Linked DNA regions of Mytilus edulis. The protein of the gene in region 2 binds, or shares a complex with, the protein of the main gene of each other region. Links are inferred from orthologs where the notes say so. Each region holds a gene or a part of one and is shown on either strand. Other genes may lie near its edges. The genes, in order: protein unc-79 homolog and protein unc-80 homolog.

Region 1 (13,091 bases), on a different chromosome or scaffold from region 2:
AAAAATATTCTATTGGTACCTTAACAGCTTGACAGTTTCCATTGTTTACACATCCTCTCCTCTGACAAAGAACTGGTGGCCATGCTGAAATCAGGTATTACATAGATTAATTCGTATCTTATTGATTAACCAAACAGTGTTTTGTTTTTATAGTTGTTATTTTTTTAAAACACATTTTATCTTTGCTTAAAAGTTTACTTTTAACATATGAACTAACTTTCAAGTTGATGTAAACACAGCCACGGGTAAACTACCTTATCCTAAAACCTTTTTACATTTTTGTTCTTAAAATTTGGTTGGTTAATGATTTTGTCAGATTTTGAAATCTCATAACAATTCTGAACTTTTTAAAATTATCATATGATAGTTAAAAGTCTTGTATAGAACAATAGCATACAGAGTACAAATTTCTATTCTCAACACAGAACAATTCATATTTGTGATTTCTGGTCCTTATGTAGATGACTATGCTGTATGGGCTTTGTTCATTGTTAAAGGCCCTATGGTGAACTATAGCTATTAATTTCTGCTGCTTTGTTCTCTAATGGAGAGTTGTCTCGTTGGCAAAAATATCACATCTTTTTATTTATATATAAGTTACCAATATATTTATAGTGTATCCCTCTCCTATCAGATAATGCCGGGTTTAATTGTGGCCAGTAATAGAACAGAAGATTAGCTGCAGGAGCTCTGGCCGATGGTGGTCCATATGCTATTATACTCAGTATATCCTGAAATAACAAACATGTCATGAAAACATAAAAACATATTTGAATGCAATTTATGGGTACATGACTATGCATATTTATGTAAAATAATGCTTTTGTTTAACCCTTAATTTACTGAATGTGTAATCATTTAAATTTAAATAAACACTAAATTGCCTTTGAGTGGTGAAATAATGTTTTTAGAGTTAACAAAATAAAGTAAAATAGTATTTCAAAGAGGACCTTTCCTTAAATGATTCATGGGAATAAAAGTATTTTGTAGAAACTGAACAATACATTTTAATGACTGTTCAATTTATTGTGTAGAAAACATTGAAGAAAACTATTTCACAAATATGTTTTAGTCTATACTGACCTTAACTAGATCTCTCTTGATACTCATGAAGCATTCTAGTATCTGTGAGTGATATGCTGAAAGTCAAAGTTCTAATTTTAATCCAAGTATCAAGATACCTATATAAACTAGAGGCTCTAAAGAGCCTGTGTCGCTCACCTTGGTTTTTGTGCATATTAAACAAAGGACACCTATGGATTCATGACAAAATTGTGTTTTGGTGTTGGTGATGTGTTTGTAGATCTTACTTTACTGAAAAATCTTGCTGCTTACGATTATCTCTATTTAAAATAAAATTGGCCCATAATGTGACAGTGGAAAATATTTTGTAAAAATTTACAAAAATTAAAAAATTTATGAAAATTGTAAAAAATTGACTATAAAGAGCAATAATTCCTTATGGGGTCAATTGATCACTTTGGTCATGTTGACTTATTTGTAGCTCTTACTTTTCTGTACATTATTGCTGTTTACAGTTTATTTCTATCTATAATAGTATTCAAGATAATAACCAAAAGTTGCAAAATTTTCTTAAAATTACCAATTTAGGGCGAGCAAGCAACAACAAGTTGCCCGATTGGTCTGAAAATTTCAGTCCAGATAAATCTTAACCTAATGAACAATTTTATACACAGCAGATTTGCTTTAAATGCTTTGGTTTCAGAGATATGAGCCAAAAACTGCATTTTACCCTATATACTATTTTTAGCCATGTCGGCCATCTTGATTCGTGGGTGGGGTCATTGGACACATTTTTTAAACTAGATACCTTTATGATGATTGTGGACAAGTTTGGATAAATTTGTCTCAGTAGGTTCAGAGGAGAAGATTTTTTAAGAAGATAACAAAAATTGACTATAAAGGGCAATTACTCCTTAAGGGGTCAACTGACCATTTTGGTCATGTTGACTTATTTGTAGATCTAACTTTGCTGAACATTATTGTTATGAACAGTTTATCTCTATCTATAATAATATTCAAGATAATAAACGGCAAAATCTCCTTAAAATTACCAATTTAGGGGCAGGAACCCAACAACTGGTTCTTCGATTCATCCAAAATTTCAGGGCAGATAAATTTTGACCTGATAAACAATTTAACCCTGTCAGATTTCCTCTAAATGCTTTGGTTTCAGAGATATAAGCCAAAATCTACATTTTACCCCTATGGTCTATTTGTAGCTATGGTGGCCATCTTGGTTGGTTGGCCAGGTCACCGGACATATTTTTTTAAATTAGATAACCCAATGATAATTGTGGCCAAGTTTAATTTAATTTGGCCAGGTAGTTTCAGAGGAGAAGATTTTTGTAAAAGTAACGACGACGGATGCAGGACGCAGCTGGACGACAAGTGATTAGAAAAGCTCACTTGGCCCTTCGGGCCAGGTGAGCTAAAAATGTAAATAATAATTCAGCAGAACTCTGTGCCTAGGTTATCATTGCTGCTTTCTATGTTTAGTATCCTTATGGAAAACAACTCAAATTATTTTATGATTGTTCATCTATTGTGGTAAGTGATTTCAGCATTTAACCCTATGAATTAAGATATTTATAAACTGTCTTAAAATGATATGTATTGTAATACATACTGTATTGTGACAGAATTTCTATTTTTCTTTTCCTTGTAATGCAGTACATCTATACATGTATTTTGCTTTAAATGGTCCTGATGAAGGTAAATCCAGAAAAGCGCTTTGGATGCATGAAATTTTTAATGTGTTGTTTACATTTTTTCAGTAATTTAAATTAAATTATCTTTTGTAGGTATGGTGTTATTGTGAAAACTTGTTTTGTTTCCTTTTTTCTACTATAATGTATTACTTACAACCATTATCTGTGTGCTGTAGAACCATTGTTATTATTGCTGCAGCTGACTCACTGGCATAGGTAGGTTCAAATCCTCCATCATACCCTACAATATAAACAAATGTTTTACAACTGTGTGTTATGGATGGATGAGCTATTATATTTCAATTATACTTGTAAAATCATGATACAATTTCTGCCCATATGCATAAAAATGTGCCATTCATTTTTGCCACCTTGAAAGTCAAAAGGTAGTTTGGGCCTAGCTGTAGGACTAAATAGTTTATTGAATTTTACAGTAATGTACAAAAGTATTTTCATGGGAAATGACTTAATACATCAGAAGTGAAAGGGATATAAAAATAGACTTACAAATATAAATATGCAACATTAATAGTCTTTGCCTGTATAACAGATAGTAGTTCAAGCACATTTATGTCCAAATTCCTGTGTCAACGAAACAATATTTATAAATGATTAATCAATTGAACATGTGTATTTGTGTTGTGAAGGATAACAGCAGAGGTAATCAAGTTAGACATGTTAGACTTACTTAGTGTCATCAGTTTCTTATATTGTATGACTCCTTCACATGATTATAATATCTTGTGAGTCACAGACGAGATATCCCAGTTTAACTCTGGGTAAATAGATGTTTCTGCCTTTCTGCATTAACTTACCAAGTGTCATCGGTAACATATTACTACACAATAAGTCTATAGTTTCTTTGTGTAATGTAGGAGGAAATATAGCCAGGGTAGATGCCACTGTATAAGGGAGAGAATCCAATAAGTCATGCTCAAGGAAGGGAACAAGACAACCTAGAACTTTCAATACATTCTCTCCAACTTCTGAAAAGATAAAAGAAATATTTGTTTTATATATTAATCATATTTCTTATCAATGCTTTTTTGGCTGAAAAAATAATAATTAAAAAATTAATGGCATAATTACATGTTGGCAAATGATATTTTCTATTAATCATTGTTTAAGAGTCATACATGTATGTCCTATTTAAGAAATAATCATTGTTTACACATCATATATTTTTGATTTAATGATCATTTAACAATAATCAATCAGTTTCATATAAACTATCATTTTAATCCATAAAAACATAAGTCTTTTAAAGACATCATCATATAAACTAACCCAACTGCCTTATTTGCATAGTTGGAACTAATTCTATCATATCCAGAACAGCATGATAAAGTCCTGTGTAGTTCAGGTTGGGAAACACTGACAGTCTAACACTGTCCCTTTGTCGTGGACCGTAACTTTCAGCTGGAATGTTGGGTACATCTTTCAGCACACTGTAAAAAAGGGTAACTGATCAAGATATATCTATAAGTTGTACACCAAGTTACACTTTTTTTATTTAAAAAAAAAAGTCAATGGTGGTCAAGTCAATTTCACAACTTATCATAACATGGCAAAAACTACATGAACTAGATCTTGATATAAATATGATATTAAAACAACCTTAGAATGTATTAAGCATTTATCCCTTATTTTTTTAAAACCAAAAAACGTATCTTAGTACAACTTAGGTTTAGCAAAATGAGTTTTATGAACTAGCATTATATAAACAGAATGTATCATCTCAATCATGCTAATCTTTGCCTCAAATAAAATTGTTCAAGTGGAGCCCTTGCTGACATGTCAGTTTTCTAGTTTCATTTGAGCAAATTCTTGCAAAGCAACTTATTCCTTTCTGCAGACCATTAATTGGTTGATACAAAACTTATTGAAATTGAACACTCTTGTAGTACATGCAGTTAGTTGCATAGATGAGATATAAACCTGTCAAATATATAACAGTTTTATAAGAACATGTGTATTTGAGTCATCTTATTGTGTGACAACTTCATCCAAACTCATGAATACATTTGTACCTTAAGAGTGCCCAACAATCACTTACCTTAGCAAAGTCTGTGAGAAATATTTCAGTGTATTTTCAATTTCATTTCCTGCTGGTAATGGCTGTACATTATTTATCAAACGAGATCTGTAATCTTTCAAGTTCCGTATTTTGGATGTAACTACAACAAAACATTTCAAATTGCAATCCAAGAGCTGTATACTGTCATACATGTACATGTACAATGTATGTGATTTAAACTAGTTATATTCTTCCTTTATTTTAACTTAATTTTGTATATACATTGCATTGTCATATACATGTACATGTACTGACAAAAACAGACACAACTTTTTCTTTTTTCTATTCTTAACCCTTTTATACAAAACAGAGTCAGTATAACTTAAGTATTCATTTGAAATTCTATTTAGACAATTATTTAAACTTTATTTTGATTTCTACTAACTTGACCTTAGTGTTTGTTTGGATGGTGTGTACTTTGTTTAACCTATTTTTAATTTACATTACATGTATGTCTGAAAATTATATTGTGATTATTCTGCTCATGTTGGGCGCCGTGATTGGCAAATAAAATATTTGTTTGTTTGTTTGCATTACTGTACTGTTCTTTTTTGAAATAAAAGTATAACTTGATTGCAGTTTGGGATGTATTTTGCATTCAACATCTGTAATTGTACATGTAGCCCCTGGATGTTTGTTTGCCAAAAATTTGGAAAATAAGTTCGGTCGATTTTGATTGAACCCTGAAAAATGCAATTATTTTTATAAAATATTATTTGCATCATTAATTTCCTACGGCTATGACACACTTTAACTGAAATAAACTTACAAGTCGCTGCTCTGGTCGTCATGTTGGTAAGATTTTAATAATATATTGTCCTGCATACATTTCATCTCGGCATCTTTATGAAAGGGTAAAAGCCGAGTAACCCGAATGAAAATGCTGCGGATGCAGAGCGGTGTCAGATAAAATAATGTCAAAAAAATTGTTCCACGTTAGTAAACTAACAGTAATATTCTTGAGTAGAAATATTGATTTATGCATATTCTATATAAAAATTATGTTGTTTTTGTATAAACATTTAAATAATAAACATGATGATTATTCTTACAAATTTCTTTATAACATATTTTTCCAGAACAAAATAATCTGTAAGAAGTGTTCACAACACCGCTTAGATTCTCGGGTAACTACGCGAGACTTCCTTGTTGACAACTCTTTTTCCAAAATGGCTAGGTCAGACTGGGTCTACGATGAACTTCTTACATTTCTTGGCAATCCATTATTTCAGGTTCCAGTTTTAACCTTCATGGAAGCAAATTGTATAAGTATGTATTTTTTCAGACAGTCACCATAGTTGTAGGAATAAGAACTAAGTTTAATCCAGTAATGTTAAAAGTGAACGAAAAACCAACAAAGAGACACAAAGATTAAATGAAATTTCGTGTTTTAGTGTTTAACCATTACACCTTATCTCTATTCCTGGATGACCTGGCCGCTTGAACTTTTGACCTCATGCAACAATCACTTTTCCATTTGTGGCGTCAAGATTTTACGGTAACCTGTGTGATATCCAGTAATGTCGGACAAATAGCGATAAGGTGTATGGCAATGCCCCATGTAGCTAGTCGCCCAAAGCTGTTTTGCCAGACAAGCTGAAGTAGGGATGCTCGTCCCATGTAAAAAATAGGTATAAGCCCTTCCAAAATAGTAGTCCGAGATTACTCTGACGTCCAACGGCTGTTTTGCCAGACAAGCTGGGGCCGTGGGACGTCAGAGCTCGTCCCATATCAAAAAGTGGATATTTGCCCACCCAAAATAGATGCGCTGCCTTTCATTTTCAAAGATTATCACGTGACCACGATAAAACAATGATGATTTATGCAAATGACCATAATGTAACACCTCGTTCATTTACGATGCAAGTTATCTAAATGTGCGAGAGCTTCCGATTGTTCTCGTGGTCGGAACTAAATGCTTAATACCGATCTCCTGTAAAGGAGGTGAAAAATCGTGGTTGGCTACTAAATGTTAAACATGGATCTCCTACAAAATTTGCATATATTTGAGTCTCGAGGCCACGAACTCTCTCGTAACTTGACGTCCATTTGAAAGTGAAAGTCAAAATGCAGAAATCGATGGGTCTCTGTGAACTGTTAAAATATGGAAAAATAAAAGTTGGCAGGTAGGTGAAACTTACATAAATGAAAAGATAAATGAAAAATGAACAGATTGATGCCCGATTTATATAATTCCAAGGCCATCAGTCGGCACCAGAAGCGACGAAGCAGCGCATCTATTATGGGTTGGCAAATATCCACTTTTTGATATGGGACGAGCTCTGACGTCCCACGGCCCCAGCTTGTCTGGAAAAACAGCTGTTGGACATCAGAGTAATCTCGGACTACAAAAAAGATGAGCCGTTTCGTTGATTCTGGAGCCAGGTAGGTAGGTAAAACTCACATAAATAGAGACATAAATGAAAAATGAACAAATTCAGGTCCTATTTATATTGATCCAATGCTGTCATGATAATGGACATCATACTAAAATTCAAAATTTATAAAAGAAACTAAAATTAAAATTCATACAAGACTAACAAAGGCCAGAAGCTCCTGACTTGGGACAGGTGCAAAACTGCAGTTGGGTTAAACATGTTTTTTGAGATCTCAATCCTCACCCATACCTCAAGCCAATGTATAAAAAAACAAACACACAACAATATGCATGTTTAAAATATTGTCACTTTTTTTTCAACATTTGCATTATACTGTCAAAATTACTAACAACATTGAACAAGCGGGACATATCTTTGTTTATTATCATATATACTCAGGGGCGGGTCCAGGATTTCCAGTTAGGGGGGGGCGAAAAAAATTTGGAGTTTTTTTTTAGGTAAAATTATTGAAATATTCTTCTAAAGGGGTGAAATGTAGATATCTCGAACTATTGTGTGTTAAAATTAGTGAGGAATTAAAGTATCAAGCTGAAACCGCCTTAATCCACACCTGACAACAATCTACAGATAAACGGGCGGACAGAAGGATGCAAAGTGAGACGAGACAGATCACAATTGCTCACCTGACCAATATATTATTCAAACGAAAAGTTCTACTTTTACCAGCGATTTTTAATTGTCCTTTCGTGCTATCTGTTTTTTGATTTTCGGAGGTCGTGCCAGACTTAGCTGTGTTCGCCAAAAACAACTAAAATCAGAATGAGATGCATTTGCGCAGTTATATTTATTTTCTTGGGAGCCCAAGCATACAGTAATACGGTACAGAATTCGGCTAAATATTTAGGTTGCAAGTGAGAAATAAATATAGACACAGAGATACAAATTAATAAACTAACCTTTCGCTTGAAACAGTATTTCTATCTTTCATTACGGATATTATAAAAGAATCTCACCTGCCGACTGTTTTCTTGACTGTGTCATGATGAAATTATGAAAGTGAGTAAGGGATGATTTGAAACTTCAATTATCAAACAAATTGATTATAAATTCCGCAAATACAATGTAACTTTGTTTTTACTTTTAACTTTTAACAAACCTATTATATTTGTCATCAAACGCAGCTCTGCATTTGAGACCTTCCTTTGAAATTATTTATAGAACCTTAATAAAGCATAGGTCAGTTGATTAGTAATCACGTTGATTCTGTTGAACTGACTGTTTTATATACTTTGAATGTTAAAAAAGATTAAATGGTCTCTTCTGATACTTAAATATGTTGAAGTCAACCCATGCTTTGCAAATTTTAGGGGGGGGGGGGGGTGCACACCCTGCCTAAATCCCCCCTGATACTGTACTTTCAAAGTTGTAATTTGAAGTCAATATTTGAACAGTGAATTTATACATTTGTATCATTTTTAAATCAAAATCACTGTTAAAACTGTACTTTGTTTATTTAAAACTTCAGTTCTAAAGTGATATGGAGGTACATTCTGTACTTGAAACATGTGATTTTAATGTTTTCAAAAATTTATTGATGAACAAATGAACTCAATAAGCAAATAATAAATTTGAAAATTTGTTGAACAGGTTTTTTTCCAAAGTAAAGCAAGTGTTTGATCTTTCTTTACTGATTTAACCAAATCAAATGTTTGATTCAAATTTTGGATCCATGGGGGCAAAGCTCTCTTTTCAAAAATCTAAATCAGCCAAATTGATTAGTTTAAAGCGAAATTGGAATGTATATTTATGAACAACTGGACTCGCTATAAAACCTGACTTCCTAAATTCCTAATTTAAAAAATATACAGGTAATAACACTTCAAAATTCTAATATCAGATTTTGCATTTGTTCCAGAAATATTTACTGAAAACTATCTTCAGTTAATACGTCAAACACAATAAATAAATTGAAAATAGCTCCAACAGATATAAAATGTCAGGCTTTTATGTTTTCCCCTGACATAAAATGCAAATATCAAGTTTATTACATAATAAAAGTAGCAAAATTATACAATAGCTATTATATTAATAGAATTGAATTAATTATCCAGACAAAATCATTAATGAATCTAATCAGATAATTCTGTCATGTCTGTTGTACAAGTATGGATTTTAGAGACAAATAATTATATAAGCTTTGGTATTGACTCTGTACACAAAATCATACTTAATATATTAAGTCATGAATTATTATAGCTATGCCTACACAAAATCTGTTAGCCATAAGATATTGATAGTGCAGATACATTGAAAATTATTTATCTGATTTTGTGTATTAAAATCCAATGTTTATTCTCATTGTAATTTGAAAAACTACATATAAAGTAAACATTGTAAGGTATAAAAAAATTTAAAATGTAGTATAATTTCCAATGAAACAACTCTCAACCAGAGACCAAATGGCATAAAATTTAACAACTATTTGTCATTGTACAGCCTTCAACAATGAGCAAAACCCATGGCACATTACATGTTACGAAAAAATGTAACAATAATAAATTGAACCTAATTATAATGGTTGGTACTTAACAAGCAGCTATGATTTCAGTTTTTGACCCCAGTATAGAAGACTGTAAGGAGTACAGAGAACAGCATACATCATATCATGATTTGGTAAGATTTATATCACTACAATGAAACCTGTCTGTACAACTCTGGCATTTCTAAAGATCATTATTTCATGTATTTGGTTTAAAATGTTTCACTGTAAATGAAGAGAATTATGAAAATGATATTTACAGTGACTGAAAGGATAGTGGTGGAAAGACAAGGAAAGATAATCAATTCTTGTATTGTTCAAGGGCAATTTATTCAAATGAACAAATTTGAAAAATAAAAACTTTTGTTTCTTCAAATCAGTGGGGGGTTTTAGATAGTGTAGCCAGCAAAAAATGACTGTTCTTTTAGGTAGATAATGAATTTATATTTATTTTCTTTTTACATGAAAGATGTTTTGGAGTTTTCAATGATCTTCAATAAACAATAATACATTTGTACATCTATACTTAATTTAATGCATAAGACAAAGGGCTAAGAAACCTCAATAGAAGGCAAGGCGCCCTTCCCCCCAAAAAACCCCAACAAAAAATAATATATAAATAAACATATAAAAGGAATTGAATAAAAAAGAACAGGATATTCATCTGAATGAAAGATTTTTGTTTGCACAAAAAAATGCATTAAAGTCATGAAAGTCTCTCATTGTATTTTGTGTTTTATAAAATATGTGCCAGATAATTTATTTATTTATAGATAAAGAATATACAAGTTGAATTGATTATGTTAATGGTAATTGTTTGAGAGAAATTATTATTTAAAGAAAATATCTGTTTGATTTTCAGATAAACACATTGTTAGACGGCTTTAGGAAGGATTCAAAACTGTCTCATGAAGATATCATCAATGCATTTAAAGAAATGAATGCCAAAGATGATCTTAAAGAAATATTTCAGGTACATAATGTTTTCTTTATGGGTTAGATTTTTTGTTTTATTATAAGCTTACTTAAAGTTTTGACAGGTAGGCTTGCACTATTCTCATCACTTTGGGTCTGTCAACTGGTCAATAAGCGGAATAAGACAATGACATGAGTCAATATTGTCCAAATCATAAGTAAACCTCCTGAAAAGTAGTTATTGACATTAAGATCATATTGCTAAGTATTCTTCTGCTATTCATATTTGATATTTGCAATTTCTCTATATCTACTATAGTTTTTGCAAAAACACTAAAAGTTGATAAAAATCATCATTCGTTAGACTTTGACATCATGTATATCCATGATTTTTTTAAGAGCTTCTGTATTAAGTAAGAAATAATTAAATATAACAACAGAATATGAATTATTAAGATATTTTTATTTTATTGTTTTCAGGTGATATTTGAAATGGTTTTAGCAATGGATGATTTTAGTATGTTTGTTAGAATAATGACTTTAAAAAATATTGAGCTCCAAGAGCAGGTATTAAGAATGATGGCTAAGACTACAGGCAGTATACCAGATAGTTTTACAACCGCTCCTCCAAAAAAAGCAAAAACTGCAGAAGAGGCAGAGGAAGAACTCCTGGCTAAAGTTATGGAGTAAGTAATATTCAGGGGTACTATTCCAAATCTTTTGTGTGTCAATCAGGCCAATCAGGATTTCTTGTCATAAGTCTCAACAATGTTTCTAAACCTATAAAAAAACAGAGTTCAGGGTAAAAATTAAGAAATGGTGAACTTAGGTCTTGGATATAGATATTGAAGTGCATTACAACCCTTCACTCACTCCTCTTATTTCGGGTCATATGCCAATATGATGAATTAAGAATTAACACCTTCTTAGCTTTGCATACCGGGTAATTAAATTCAACTATATTAGGCTTGTAGAATGATTATTTACTTATTATGTATAACATTATAAATAACAACATTATATTATAGATAATGATACTGCATCAACATAATGATTGGACCTTGTTTGTATTTTAAGAGATGCAGGAAATTTGATAACTAGAATTTTAATTTTGAAATGATGACATAGAATTTTTTGGTGAAGTGTATGGGAAGATTTGAATAAAAAACTGCAGGAAAAATTGAATTGCCTTTCAAAAGCATTCAGTTGAAAGAAGTTAAATATTTACTCATATGAATGGATTGTTCTTTGTAAAAATAACTTATGACCTGCATCATTTTTCATATATAGACAGTCAAAAAAAGAATATGAAATTGAAGAAAAGAAGAGAAAAACTATGGAAAAAGAGGAATTAGCAAATGTTATGGTATTAGAACAGAACCGATTACAAAATGAAAAAGTAAAAGAACACAAAAAATATGAACAGGTAAAGTATTTCATTTATTACTATTAAATAATTCATTATCAGGAAAAATTAAAACCAGCTTGGCACAGCCCAGTATTCTGTCATGTACATTACTTTCTATCCTGTATATGAACAAAGTATTCTCAAGGTGATATTTAAAAAAAATATTGGACCACTTACTAATGATAGTGCATTAGATTAGAAAGGAGAAAATATATTACATAATATATTCATCTTCAGGAGGCAATTGATAAGGGGGAGTGAAATATATTGAGAGGCTTCATATGACATTGAGCGTCCTCATATCCAGCACACATAAAATGTTTGAACAAAATAATTGAATTGAACTTTGGTGTATAGGACCCAGCCGTTTGATAAAATCTATATTCAGATAGTGATGTTTTAGATATTTAATGATCATTTTCCATTCATCATAATTAGAATAGTAGAGTCTTTGAATGTGAAATCAACTTAATATCTTGTTTTTCCAGGCAATTCAAGACTTATCTCAGGGATCAACACCAACCAAACCTGTCCAAGATAAATTGATTGCCTTAAGTATATCTCAACCAAAACCACAGGCTACACAGCCAACCCAACCACAACCGGTGGCACAACCTGTGACCAGCAAGCCACCACCAGCAAAACCAGTAAAGCAAACAGACTTGAAAGCAGCGGTAAGAAATATGTTTTAGCGCAAATGGGCAAATATGAGATAATGCCATTATTTGGTGTTTGTAACATCATAGCTCATATGTCATCTAACTTTTTCAAACCATCTTCTTCTCTGAAACTGCTGAAATAAATCAAACTTGGACACAAATTTCATCTTGATGTCATTAAAAAAAGATACATTTGATGTCTGATTTAAATTACAAATGACTGAAATGAAATTCCTGATTTTCGTCAATTTTCCATGTACCAAGATCAAACTTTTTTTCATCTGGATTTTTTTTAAGGTTTACGTGAAATTTACATATGTGGAAAAAGCTTGTGGGAATCAATAAAATTTCCTTTATAAAAAATAATCAAATATTTCATCAACTGATGAAACAGTAGGATTTGTGAATGCCTGTTAAAGTAC
Region 2 (12,808 bases):
CTTACAACTACAGCTGCTTCACACAGTTTTCCTCTCTTTGGTCTTATAAATGGACTGCAAAAGAAAATTTATGTTCAGGAACAGAAAGACCAAAATCAATTTAAACATCACTTTTTGTTACTTACAGGTCTCGTTTCTCGTTTCTCATTTTTTTATTTTATATAGATAAGACCGTTGGTTTTCCTGTTTGAATGGTTTTACACTAGTAATTTTGGGGCCCTTTATTGCTTGTTAATTGTTCTGTGTGAGCCAAGGCTCCTTGTTGAAGGCCGTACATTGACCTATAATGGTTTACTTTTTTAAAATTGTTATTTGGATGGAGAGTTGTCTCATTAGCACTCACACCATATTTTCCTATATCTATCTACAACTTAACAATAATACAATTTAAAATCTTGAAATTAAATTGATTCTTCATTTAGTCACAGTTATTAACATTTAAAAAATTTTGTCAAACGTTTTGAAGTTATTTCACGGACAGTGCTCTAAGTATCACTTCTCACTACTGAAAGGTCTACAACTCATATGATCAGGATCACATGACTCAATATCCATGAACATGATGAAAGCTAAAATGAATAAGTGTCTGTTAATTAACCCCATGGTGGCAGCCCGTTATCATATTCTTGACAAATTGAGCCAGTATCTTTCATTTCTTTTAGAACTCATTTAGGATATAAATGTGCTAATTTCTCATTTGATATACTGTCAACATGATTGATATAAAACATATAAACACATGACATGATGCACCAGTCACGTCTGAATATTAAATCACATAGACCGAAAGCTGACTGCAGGATTTAGGCCTTACCTGTTGTTAGTTTGGCAATAAGGGAACATAAAAGGGGTCCAGTTTAACCGTGAAGGGGCCTATTGGCAATCCCATATATTATGGATTTGTTTATATAATTTGTTTATATAAATAGGCAGTGTCTGAGCATACATTGTACCTGCATGCGGGTACCAATAGCCAAATTTTTCTTTGTAGGGTATGCGTTTCTGCATCAGGTTTAATAATTTCATGTCATTGGATTGGGAATAAAATGTGAAATGAACCCGGAAGTTTTCGCAATCCCAGACATATTTTGTTAAAAATCATGATCCCGATAAATTTAAAAGTTTAAAGTTTCAATGCTTATGATTAATGTTCAAAGTCTTTCAGCTTAACCAATCCGAATATGTATTATCACTGTTACCGTGAAGTCAAGCTGTATATAAGCATTTTTGTTCACCAAAATCTTCAGTAGCCAGTCAGAAAATTGGCCAAATTCCAGTTCAAGTCAAAACAAGAATTTGGCTTGATAAGAAACTGGATGCACACGTTTAGGGGGAAAAAAGGGGGTAAGGTTTTGTATATACAACTTTAATAAAAAATCGAACGATATTTTCAAGTTGATTGAATGAATACTTATTAGTACTTTCACAGAAAGAGATAATTTTCTACATGTACCTATCAAATTTGATCTTTCAGTTTGAAGGAATGTTTTCTCGGGATCCCATTGATGCTGTGTATAAATATACTTTTCCTTGGTCATCTTTGTATTAATATTTCTCCCCATCCTTTTTTCACAGGCCGATTCATTAATTCCCCAATAATTGATAAGGCCAACTAAAATCAATTAGTAGATTTTCATCCAAATTTTTGAAAAAAATGGGGCGGGTGGGAGGATTTTATTTTTAAAATTTTATTTCATATGAAACCCTCGTCACGAGTTCTTCATACCGCAGGGTATATGCTAGTGGAAAACAAGCTTGTATAATGTATATACATGCCGTAAAAGGAATCCTACACTATTTTTTAAACTCTTAAATAAAAATCCCTGATTGGCAACCACTGTTAAACATGTAATTGCCGCTTTAGAAACCTATTTATAGTATACATCAAAAAGAAGAAAAATGCCCCCTTCAGTTTGACTATACCTACACCAAATTTATTTTGCTTTCTAAGCAATGGTTTTTAGTCCCCATAAAATCAATAAAATGTATTGGTACAATTGTATGCAACACAAGTATTATGAGTACAGAATAAAATGTAAACTCAGTATTGAAAGTACAATGTAAAACATGAACTTAACCGAAAAGCAGTTTAATGACTAAATTGAGGGTATTGGGATAGTTACAAAGGGTGTTTGCTGTTTGTCAACAAAAACAACAGCCATGGGTAAATATAAGGGCTTGTTATAATTAAAATGCGTGTTTGTCGACTTTTTTTTCTCAATATACGGTCATAAATCAAACAAGTTCGTGCTTGTGCAAATTTCTTTAATACAGTCATGTTTTTTGTACCAATGTGTTCTACGATTCTTGCGCTTTGGATATCATTCACAGTCCAAATTTCCTGACACAAAGTCATCGTATAAATAAAGAAAAAACACGGTTTTCGATTCACTAGTGACTACTGCAATTTGCGTTCAAGGACAAGGCGTTTTACTCGTAACTCGAATATTTCACGCCCTTCTCGTTATCAATCTCTATTCTCGGTAGATGATGTTGTCATTATAGAGCAGCAGAATATGTCGACTTAATCATTTTTGTTAGATTACTCGAAGAAATACAAATACGAAATTTGAAACAGGAAGTTTTGAATGAAACGAAATTATCGATGGTTCCCGGTAACGGACATGAACAAAATCCGGAAATATTTTTTTTGTTAAATAAAAAAAATCAGGGCGGGACAATTTCAGAGGGGCGGGCGGGGATGAAAATCTAGCAATTAATTTTAATTGGCCTAACATATTTTTTTAATTTGATTAAGTCAGTGAAGCTTTCGCTGTCCTTTAGCACAATGTTTGTTTTTTCCTTAAGGAAAGCCAAAGAATGTTTGTCTTTGTGGAACAACAAAAGGGTTCTAATTGATATAATTTGAGAATCGTTTAATTAACGGAATAATTAAAGACCTGATCCGAGCTCAAAGCTGTATCTCTAAACGTACTATCACATGTACTTTGATTGATTGTTGGTTGCTTAATGTCCAGTGGCAAATACTTCATGCATATTCCAGACGAGAACAAGTTCACAATAAGTACAATAGGTAGGTCTTGTCATTAAAGAGGCCCTTTGGAATGATGGTCGGAGATATTTGGACTGCCACTGGAAAATGAGGGTAGATTAGATAGGGACAGAAATTTTGCCTTGCAACAGGCCTCAAAGAGTTGTTGCAAGGATTCTTAACATGCACAGAGTGTGGCACTCTCTTTACATGAGGCATCCGATTTAACGTCCCCATTCTGACCGACGTGACTGCGAACTTGACACATCCCGCACAGCCAACTTCAGCAAGCGTTTTACTGCCGTTTTGGAGAAGACCAAGTGACCTCAGTCACCCTTGGGGTTTACATGTACGTATACTCTGATCTGGATCTACTCTGTTTCTAGATGCGATTCTGATTGAAGTATAATGAACATGGCACTTTGTCCAAGGTACAGTTGTTTGTCAATCCCGTAATATTTCAACATAATAATCCCACATTCCTGTGGCTAAAAACGTGGCTTTCCTGTATCCCAATGTTTTTCTATCCCGAACTCCCGATCTTTAAACAAGGCAATCCCGATTTCCCATTGCTAAAATTGGCCAATCCAGGCGACCCGAAAATGGTCTAGCCCCCCCCCCCCCTAGAAATGACCTTGGTTATTATTTTAATATCTTATTTAATATTAATTATAATTATTGATATAATTTGATATACACCATTATTTTTTAGAAGATAATCCAATTAAAAAAGTATAACAAACAAGTGAAAAACAATACAAAATTAGGACAGTTCAAGTTCTTGAAATAAATAATCATAAATATGTGAATATCAAATGCATCTAGTTTTAGGCATATGAAATTTTATCTTATCATCTTCAATTATGTATACACTCAAACTTTATTTTAAGTTGTTTTAGATCATATTTTAAAATTTATGTTTCCAGCATGTCCAGGTTTCTGTTCTGAATTTTATTAGAAAATAACTTTCACACAAGTTTTTTATTAACCATTGTTAACATACAATTATTCAAATTCAGTATAATTTTATTCTTCTTTTAATGTGCATTTACGTTTAATTTCTATTTTTTTTTTAAATAATACATTAAACACAAATTATTATTTATTATTTGCCATTCTTTGAACACTGAATTCACAAAATCCGTAAATAACTGATTTTTTGGGGTATCTTCATGATCTTTTATGTTCTATTCCTGATCATATGACCGTTTATTAAAAAATCGGTTGCGGTTACGCATAGCCTAATATGATGGCCGAATTAGCTATGCGTACCGGCATGCGGGAACATGCAGACACTGCCTTGTTCATTGAACAATAAGAATCATATTAAAAATTTGGGTGGTTTCTGTAACTTTTGTAAATATTTATATCTTCTACTTCTACTTCTATGTGGTTAATCTGCAGTCGGAAATTCCATAACGCAAATATACTGAACGCGTGTGTCAACCAGTACACGCCAAGTTAAAAATAACAAACTTTGTGTATTTACAGGAACAAAAACAAATAAAATTATCATATAATTTTTAAACATAATTAACGTCTGCAAAATTAATGGTTACAAGATTTAAATTTAAAGTGTTGCATAAATGGGTGCATTTGAACTCTTTGTTGTGTTTATATTAATTTATACATAGAGTGCTCCCCCTTCAGTCTTGACATTTCAATCAATGCAAATGGCACCAAAAACTTCTTGATTGCTTTGTGAAAACTAAATTTTTGGAAAAGAAACTTTCAATAACATGATTAATGAAGAATATGTGGATTAACATGATTAATGAAATTAACATTTAATACGCCCACCTTGTTTGACGCCAGAAAAAAGCCTGGATAGGCAATGGAATCGATTGATCATCGTCACCAGACAGATTTTTACGCTTAGGCATTTTATAATTGCTTCTTCATTAAATATTTACACCCTTCCATCTTTAATTTTCTGTTTCGCATCAAAAATGGCGTATGACTGGAACTCTCTTATCTGTTTATTGATCTGAATCGGCTGCTGAAGCTGATTGTTTTGATCAGTATATTTTTAATAAAAGAGTCCGAGATTTCCGAGAAATGTATATCTACATTCGACACTCTCTAGACTGTTCATCGTAAAAATGGCGGCAAATGTAGACGACATTTGTCGGTCTTTGGAAACGACAACACTGTCAACAGATGTTTTATCAACATTGGTTGAGTTGAAAGCAGCTTTATCATCTGTCAGAACAATAAATCTACACACAGTAGTCTCAGTTTCATCTGTACAGAAGTTATTTGGCTTGTTAAACACTGATGACGGGTTTGTAACTCATGTTTTTACTTCAATTTTGCAAGTCATCCTATACTTCACAATATCTCCATGTATCTCCAGCGTTGTACAGTTTAGGCTTATAAAGACTGATCTCCACAGTATTTGCTTACATCATTAGGAAGGTTGACTATCTATGTATAATTTACATTAGACTAAATTCAAGATGAAAATCACTTGTGTTAATATTGAGTTAACATGGTTAAGCCATTTCCTATTGATATTTTATAATGTGTCTCAAATGTTATACCATTTGTTTCAGGTACATGTAAGGGTTAAGGTTGGTATCTTAAAACGTATAGCCCTTAACTCATTGCATTTGTTTGCACCTGTTCTACATTTTTTTTAAATTAGGAACCTGATGTTCAGCATGTCCAGTGGTTGTTGTTTCTTGATGTGATTTATACATGTTTCTTGTTTTTTAATATAAATTAGACCTTGTTTTACCTATTTGAAAGATTTTACACTAGTCATTTTTGGTGCCCTATATACAGCAACCTTAGGGTTCCTCTTCACCATCCTCATATACATGTATTGTGTTATAATCTCTATTATTTCTGTTGCTGCTTCCTGTTATTTCAGCATAATAATCAGAATAATAGATTTATTAGAGTTTGCTGTTAGGTAGAAGCCAAGGCTTCATTTGGAAGACCAAACTTTTACCTACAATGTATTTATGGTTTACTTTAATTTTACAAATTGTGTCTTGGATGCCATGAGAGTTGTCTCATTGTCACTCATACATTTTTTGTACCACATCTTATTATATCTACTCAACATTCAATACACTTGATATAGGAAACAATTCAAAGACTCCTGACTTTGGACAGGCACTTTTTATAAACTTAGACAGTGGTGCATAACAATATAAACATGAGAAAAAATATAAAAATCAGTTGAAAAGGGCTTAACTCATCAGATCGATAAAACATCAAACTAAATAAATGAATTTTGCAGGTTATTAATACATCTCTTACAACAAAAAAGACACAAAGCACAGATCATGCAGATCTAAGATTGTTATGTTTCTATTAACATGATTAAATTAACAGCTTGTTCAAAACCAAAAACAATTTTTTAAAAGATAATCTGAAATTAGAATAGATAGCTTCATATATTGCATTTAAATGTTATTTTATTGTTATGTTTAGTGACTGTTTTATTGTTTTTTTCTTTCAGTGAAATCATTGAAGAATGTTGCAGTATTTTAAAAAATGTTTTGCTAGCATGGTCACCTGCTGTTGGGTTGGACCTATTCAAAAATGATTTTGATATAGGATTAAAGCACCCTTCTACCACGATACAGTGTTTATGTTTAAGACAGGTAACATTCTTCTATGTTTTAGTAAGGATTATTTATATAGATCTATGTCCACTCATGTTGGATGAAGGGGCAATTTGATAAACCTTATTGCTATTTAGTTCAATCCAGGAAAAACAGTAACTTGGACAACTTCCTGTTTGGGTCGAGTGAACCAAGAACAAAGTTCATCAGTAACGAGATGAGGGCAGAAATGTTTAGAAAGTGAACATTGTGAAATTTGTATAGTTTATGAATGAAAGTAAGAAAAATGCTTTGTTCGAAGTGTTTGCAAGGGTTTAAACACAACTCTTTGAAAATTTGCATGCACAGTACATTGTTTATACAGGGCTCCAGATAGCTTCAACTGGTTTGAAAGAGTGGACAATATTTGAACTTTTTGGATTGGAATAAATAGCGATTTATAAGGTTTATTGAAGCTCAGTGAAAAGATTTTAGAGTGACTTAATATTATAAGAATACATCAGTAGCTTCTTAAATTGAGTTAATAAGATAATTTTTATGATAATAAAGTTACCAAGTATGATACCATACCATTTTTTACCAGAAAAAATAATTTCTGGGGAAGCCCCCCTCCAGTAATGTTTTATTGTGCACATACATGTACTTTCGACTTATATAAACCCATACACCAGTCTTAAGGCTAAATATTCAGGCATATGCTTGTGAATCATTATGTTCATTTTACTGTAATCAATGTCCTTTAAAATCTTTTTTTCAGCTAAAACTTGCTGGAGAAGATGACCAAACACTTTTGAATTGGGATTCAGCAAGAGATGTCATCAAAACAGTGATCAATTTGATAGCTAGCCCATCCCTTCAGGTGGCAAAACATGCACAGAATGTGATACTTAATATTAGTATGTTGTCTTTAACTTAAAATCACTTCAATATCTCTCTATAGATGCTATAATGTGCATTCATTTATTATACAGTTAACTCTCGTTGTCTCGAACTCGGTTGACTCGAAATTTCGGATGAGTCGAAATTTTCACGTGGTCCCGAACTTTATTCCATACAAAAGTATGTAATTCGACTCCTGATGAGTCGAAATTGGATGAGTCGAAATTTCGGTTGAGTCGAACTAAATGTACGGTCCCAAGGTTAACAAAGCATTCAAAATTCATTTTTTATCTCGAACTAATACACATATATGTCAAAACATGACCTCCGGGATTTAAATGGATTGAAGAGTTAATCTGACAATACACGTGTAATTAAATTTCCGGTCACTGACCACTGTATTGATTTATGACATGCTATTTCCATGAGTGTTTACCTAAGATTATCTTTTATAGAATTTTGATAAATAATTAGTGATACATTGTTAATGTTCATGAAAAAGTATTTAAAATGTTTACAAAACAATTAATTTGTGATTTACACTAATGAGCTTGAGTGTGTATAAAGTGAGGATTGTGGCTTCCGTTGATGATCACCTAAAAACTACTCAAACGGCGTCTTCAATCTTGTTATATTTTCTTTTGAAAAGAAAGAGTGAGATAAAACAAAATGAATAGAAATCAAAATTTTCTTAAATCTCTTGTATCCGAGAATAAACAATTTTGTCAGCTATAACCGACCTGAATAACGAAACTATCGATTGGAAATTACTCTCTTGGAAAAGCCATAGCATTTTTTTTTAATTGAAACAATTGAATAAGTACAAATAATGTCATTATAATAATAAAAGACTGTGACATACAAATACATCGATCTGATACTAGAATATCGATCCCCTTGCCATATTCAGCTGGATTTATTTAAGCTTTACCAAGCTAAGCAAGAGTTGTGTCCCTTAGATTGTCGAACTTCCGGTGTTCGTTTGAGTCGAACTACGTGTAATATTTCTCTGGTCCGGCTGACTTCGACATAACGAGAGTCGACTGTACATGTGCTATGACTCAAGATCACACTAATATCTCTATAGTGGGAATCCTTTAATGTACAAAAAATGTACCTGTACCTGTACCTTTATAGTCCAATCAAACTAAGTTTGAACCTCAAACTAATTGCAGAAATGTTTTAGTTCTAATCTATAGCATTAAGCCCTAAAAATACACAGAAAAAAGTCCAATAAAATCTAACTTGAGGAAAACTTAATATGAGCATTTTTAATTTCTTGTGGAAATTAACATTGGAAAGGGAGATAACTCTGCAAAAAATAGTCTTTTTTTGTCAGTTTTTGGTTGATTTTCTTAAAATTCATGTAAAATATGATACTTTGATGGGGTTGTAAGTTCGTATTTTACTATATTATATAATGTTCAGCTCATAAAATGTACATATGATAACCGATGTATTATGGGTATTTTTTTTTTTTTGCACATTTTTCATTAAAGAATTTGCAAATTTATGGCTTTGTGACCAATTTGAAATAAATAATGTGAATATTTGGTATTGTTTATAACTGCTAAATATATTTGTTCAGCATCTACCTTTTTAAAAGAAACTGTAAACCACAAAAAGAAGAATATATATGCTTAATTGCAGGGCTCACGCTACCAGGCGACTTGGGCGAAGAAGTCGCCTTCCCCACTGTCACTTCGCTTTCCCCGACCCCCAAAAGCGAAATCAAGTCGCCCTGTTCTTGGCGATACTCGCTTTCAGTCGCTTCCGTCATCGGACATTTTCAATTTTTACCAAGTTGATGAAACATCAATTTGTTATTGATAATTAAAGAAATTCAGACATAAACGATTCATTATCTTTAGAAAAGAGGTTGAAGCATTGTCTTCGCAGTGTGCAGCAGGTTATTTGATAAAAATACAACTTTTTATCACTTCATGCATTTTCGCAAGTTCCGGTGCTTGTTACTCGAAAACGTACATCAACCTAAATTTCGGCGGCAAAATAAGTTTGTTACTTCATTTAAACGTGAAAAAGTTGCCTCCAGTAAATGTTTAATCCATTTATTGCATTAAAAACGTCATGTTCCTTTTCAAATAACTTGTCAAACATCGTTTATTTTTGTAAATTTTCTTGCATTTGTCCGCCATTGACCGATTTCTAAACTACGGATCTGAACCGGACCAGCTATGACTGAAATCGTACTTTTACAATAATTACTACGGACGCACGGACGGAACAGTTGACAGAAGAATATTGATTCCAAAGGGAAAAATTACGCATTCCACACACATAAAGAGACTTTTGGTTACATCTAATTGATTGGTGTATATAATTCCCTATATTTTTTTATGGATTGTTTCAAACTATTGATTAAAGTTGCTTAACTCTGAGACTATTATACTAATTTCAATATATTATGGCCCAGCTTAATAACTTTTATATTTTTTTATGAGAAACACTGAATTTCATACACAAGATAATTTTTAATTAAATTGTAATAATGATATATTATAATTTCTTTACATTTTTTAAAATATTTTTTTTTTTTAGTGCTAGATATTTAGTTGGAATAAGTTTCTCACAAGAACCTTAGTAAAACTTAAACAACTTTTAATTTCAAATGTTACTTTAATTGTAATTTTTTTACTCAGATATGAATTGAACAATATAAAAAGAACATTATTTACATATGGCCCTTTATACTATTGTAAAATCCAAACATTGTAGCGCACCGCGCGAATGAGCACTTCTCTTTCAAATCTCACCACTTCTCCCTATCAGTTTCAAAAAGAGAAGTCACTTCTCCCTATAATTCTGAAGTAGTGTGAGCCCTGAATTGGTTTTATTCAATTTGAGATTCTTTACTTTGACATGCTGAAAAATCTTATAAATGGTTAACCAATGAATTATGAAATCTAGGTTGTAGCTTGATAAAAGATATGAAAACACCTGTTTTTTGTTATACTCTAAAGACCACTATTTTTTAAGAGTTATCTCCCTTATCAATGCAAATCTCCATAGGAATTTTAAAATCATGAGTTTTTAGATTTCCTCAAGTTAATTTTATGGGACTTTTTTTTGAGTGTATTTGGGATATAATGCTAAAGATCAAAACTTTAAAATCTTTTGTTGCAATTACTTCAAAGTTAGGGTCAAATTTATGATAGATTGACTGGACTTTTATAGTTAGAAGGAAGCTTACAGTAGTTGTCAAGCATTTTGTCAAGTGCCTACTATAAAATTGAAAATGGAATGGGGAATGTTTTAAAGAGACAACAGCCCAACCAAAGAGTAAAAAACAGCTGCAGGCCACCAATTGGTCTTCAACACAGGGAGCACATCATGCACCCAAGGGCGTGCTTCAGCTGGCCCCTAAACAAAAATTAGTACTAGTTCAGTGATAATAGATGTCATACTAAACTCTGAAATACATAAATGATCTAAAACTAAAAATCATACAATACCAACAAAGGCTAGAGGCTCCCGACTTGGGACAGGTGCAAAAATGTTGTCAAATATGCCTGTATTTTGTAATGCTTGGCTCTTTTTACAAAAAAATCTTATGACAAAAATCAATGGTACTAATTTCTACTAAAATTTAACCGATGAATAAGGGTTTTTATTTCACAATATTGTTTGCTGAATGGGTTGCTGGCTGAACTAGAGGTGATTTTCGGTAGATAAGTGTAAACTCAATAATAATGACTAAAGGGGGCTCACGGGTTCAATCGATTTTTTTTAAATATAGGATTTCGCAATTTTTTCTATAAATGAACTTTATTATATACTTAATAGAAAAATCAAATTAAAAAATGGGGTCACCATTCTTTTAAGCTCAAGCCCTGCTTAAGAAGCATGCATTTTGTTCAGGTACTTTATTTCTGTTGAACTAATAAAAGACATATAGGTAATATCGGAATAAAAAAAGAACTAAATTACAGAAATCACCTCAATTTTACTATTGTTTAGAAGTTCAGCTTATTTGAAAATAATATTAAAAAAATATGATGTGTTAAAAAAGATATTTCAATTTTAATGCAAAAAAAAATGGCATTTTTGCATCAAAGGGAGATAATTTTGAGCTTTTTCAATGATATAAACATTTTAAAAGACTTCTGGGGCTAAAACAAATCAATTTTTTTGGTTGATTTTTGTATCCCATGATAAAGTGAAAAAAAATAGTGTTATAAATAAAATTTATAATGAAAAAAAAAATCTGAATTTTTGTTCCCTCGATCCTCTATAATAAATTTATTTATCCTGATTTAGAATAATTTCTTGCAATTTGATTGGCTGATATCGTCCTAATAAATTTCAGTACAATTTTTTATTACGTCAATAGGAATTATCTCCCTTATTTGTTACGTCAATTGAGATTATCTCCCTTATACCATTGACCTAATAAAAAAGAAAGAAAAATTGAAGTTGCCTTATAAATAGTCGTGATATTTTAAAATTTTCAGTTTTAGATTAAATATCTAAAATATATTTGGTTGATATTGTCCTTATATTGAATTTGAATATAATAATTTGTAATATAACAACATCAGGATAAATTCCTGATATTAATTTTATTGACCCGATAAATTCCTGTATTAGGACAATTGCACACTGTGTAACTAATCTCATTCCTTTGACTAACTTTCACAGAATGTTTTACATATATATAACACTACTCTTGTTCTTTTTTTGAAGGCAGAACAAATGATGGTCTGGATTTTATCTACTCCTCAGAAATGTTATCATCTCTACAAGAAGTCCTCCAGACAGATGATACTGTCAAATTCAGAGTTTATGAGGTATTGTTTTACTGTGTATAATGTGTACAGTGGAATCTGTTTAAACAGAATCTCATTGGTTTGGTTTTCAATTTTATATATAAATTGTGAAAGAATATTCACATGTTACTGTTTAGAACTAACTAAGTTTCATTGATAAGTAGGAAAAAATCTAACCAGAGATGCAACTAATCGTCGGACCTAAGGGGCAGAATTTATGCAGGTCCGGCAAAACTCGTAGCTGTGCAGGACCTGATGGCCGGCAATATTTAAGTCTGCTTGGGTCCGCCAAAACTGAAATCCCCGTCGGCCCCGGCAGAGTATTTTGTTTATAAAATTGCGATCATCTTTTAAATTAATAAAAGTAAATGTCCTGTTCCCCCGCATTTTCTAACTCCGGGAACCAGTATTTCCGCCCAGTAATAGTCTTTCGTACCTTGTCCATCTCGCCCCGAACAATTCTCCGTATTTGTTTTAGAAATTCGCTCTCTAGGAAGGAGGTCTATTAAGCATAGTTGATAAGTTCAGGAAATATGTCATGGCCGATAAAATTTGTAAGTGGGTCGAAACCC

What was found.
Region 1: the proteins of protein unc-80 homolog (region 2) and protein unc-79 homolog are in contact, whole or in part, in a cryo-EM structure (PDB 7W7G), measured with the Mus musculus proteins. The link is inferred for Mytilus edulis from reciprocal best matches to the Homo sapiens genes UNC80 and UNC79. Residues at the interface, in NP_780719.2 of Mus musculus: Gln23, Thr24, Trp27, Ser31, Leu34, Arg35, Pro36, Ala80, Pro83, His84, His87, Ser94, Asn95, Asn180, Ala183, Leu187, Phe190, Leu191, Arg337, Leu340, Gln341, Pro342, His343, Arg1317, Asp1320, Glu1321, Asp1324, His1545, Val1546, Asp1547; in XP_030102533.1 of Mus musculus: Thr120, Tyr123, Ser127, Ala130, Thr131, Leu168, Ser169, Ser172, Met175, Ile176, Gln179, Tyr180, Tyr207, Tyr211, Gly212, Pro213, Ser214, Val390, Cys391, Glu394, Glu402, Phe405, Arg472, Cys541, Asp917, Phe920, Ser965, Glu966, Phe967, Ser968.

What each region holds. Positions count from the first base shown.
Region 1 is NC_092346.1:71,309,941-71,323,031, forward strand, and holds the start of protein unc-79 homolog, read right to left. Parts: upstream 5,703-13,091; 5' UTR 5,601-5,702; coding exon 5,579-5,600; intron 4,910-5,578; coding exon 4,789-4,909; intron 4,181-4,788; coding exon 4,020-4,180; intron 3,719-4,019; coding exon 3,548-3,718; intron 2,974-3,547; coding exon 2,887-2,973; intron 1,140-2,886; coding exon 1,084-1,139; intron 732-1,083; coding exon 602-731; intron 85-601; coding exon 20-84; intron 1-19. Other genes in the region: cilia- and flagella-associated protein 36-like, read left to right, coding at 5,979-6,078, 9,757-9,821, 10,550-10,660, 11,083-11,288, 11,893-12,028, 12,499-12,684. UniProt on the Homo sapiens protein: Auxiliary subunit of the NALCN sodium channel complex, a voltage-gated ion channel responsible for the resting Na(+) permeability that controls neuronal excitability.
Region 2 is NC_092345.1:26,665,133-26,677,940, forward strand, and holds the start of protein unc-80 homolog, read right to left. Parts: upstream 5,063-12,808; 5' UTR 4,876-5,062; coding exon 4,793-4,875; intron 55-4,792; coding exon 6-54; intron 1-5. Other genes in the region: 26S proteasome non-ATPase regulatory subunit 5-like, read left to right, coding at 5,095-5,276, 6,465-6,609, 7,328-7,466, 12,154-12,257. UniProt on the Homo sapiens protein: Auxiliary subunit of the NALCN sodium channel complex, a voltage-gated ion channel responsible for the resting Na(+) permeability that controls neuronal excitability.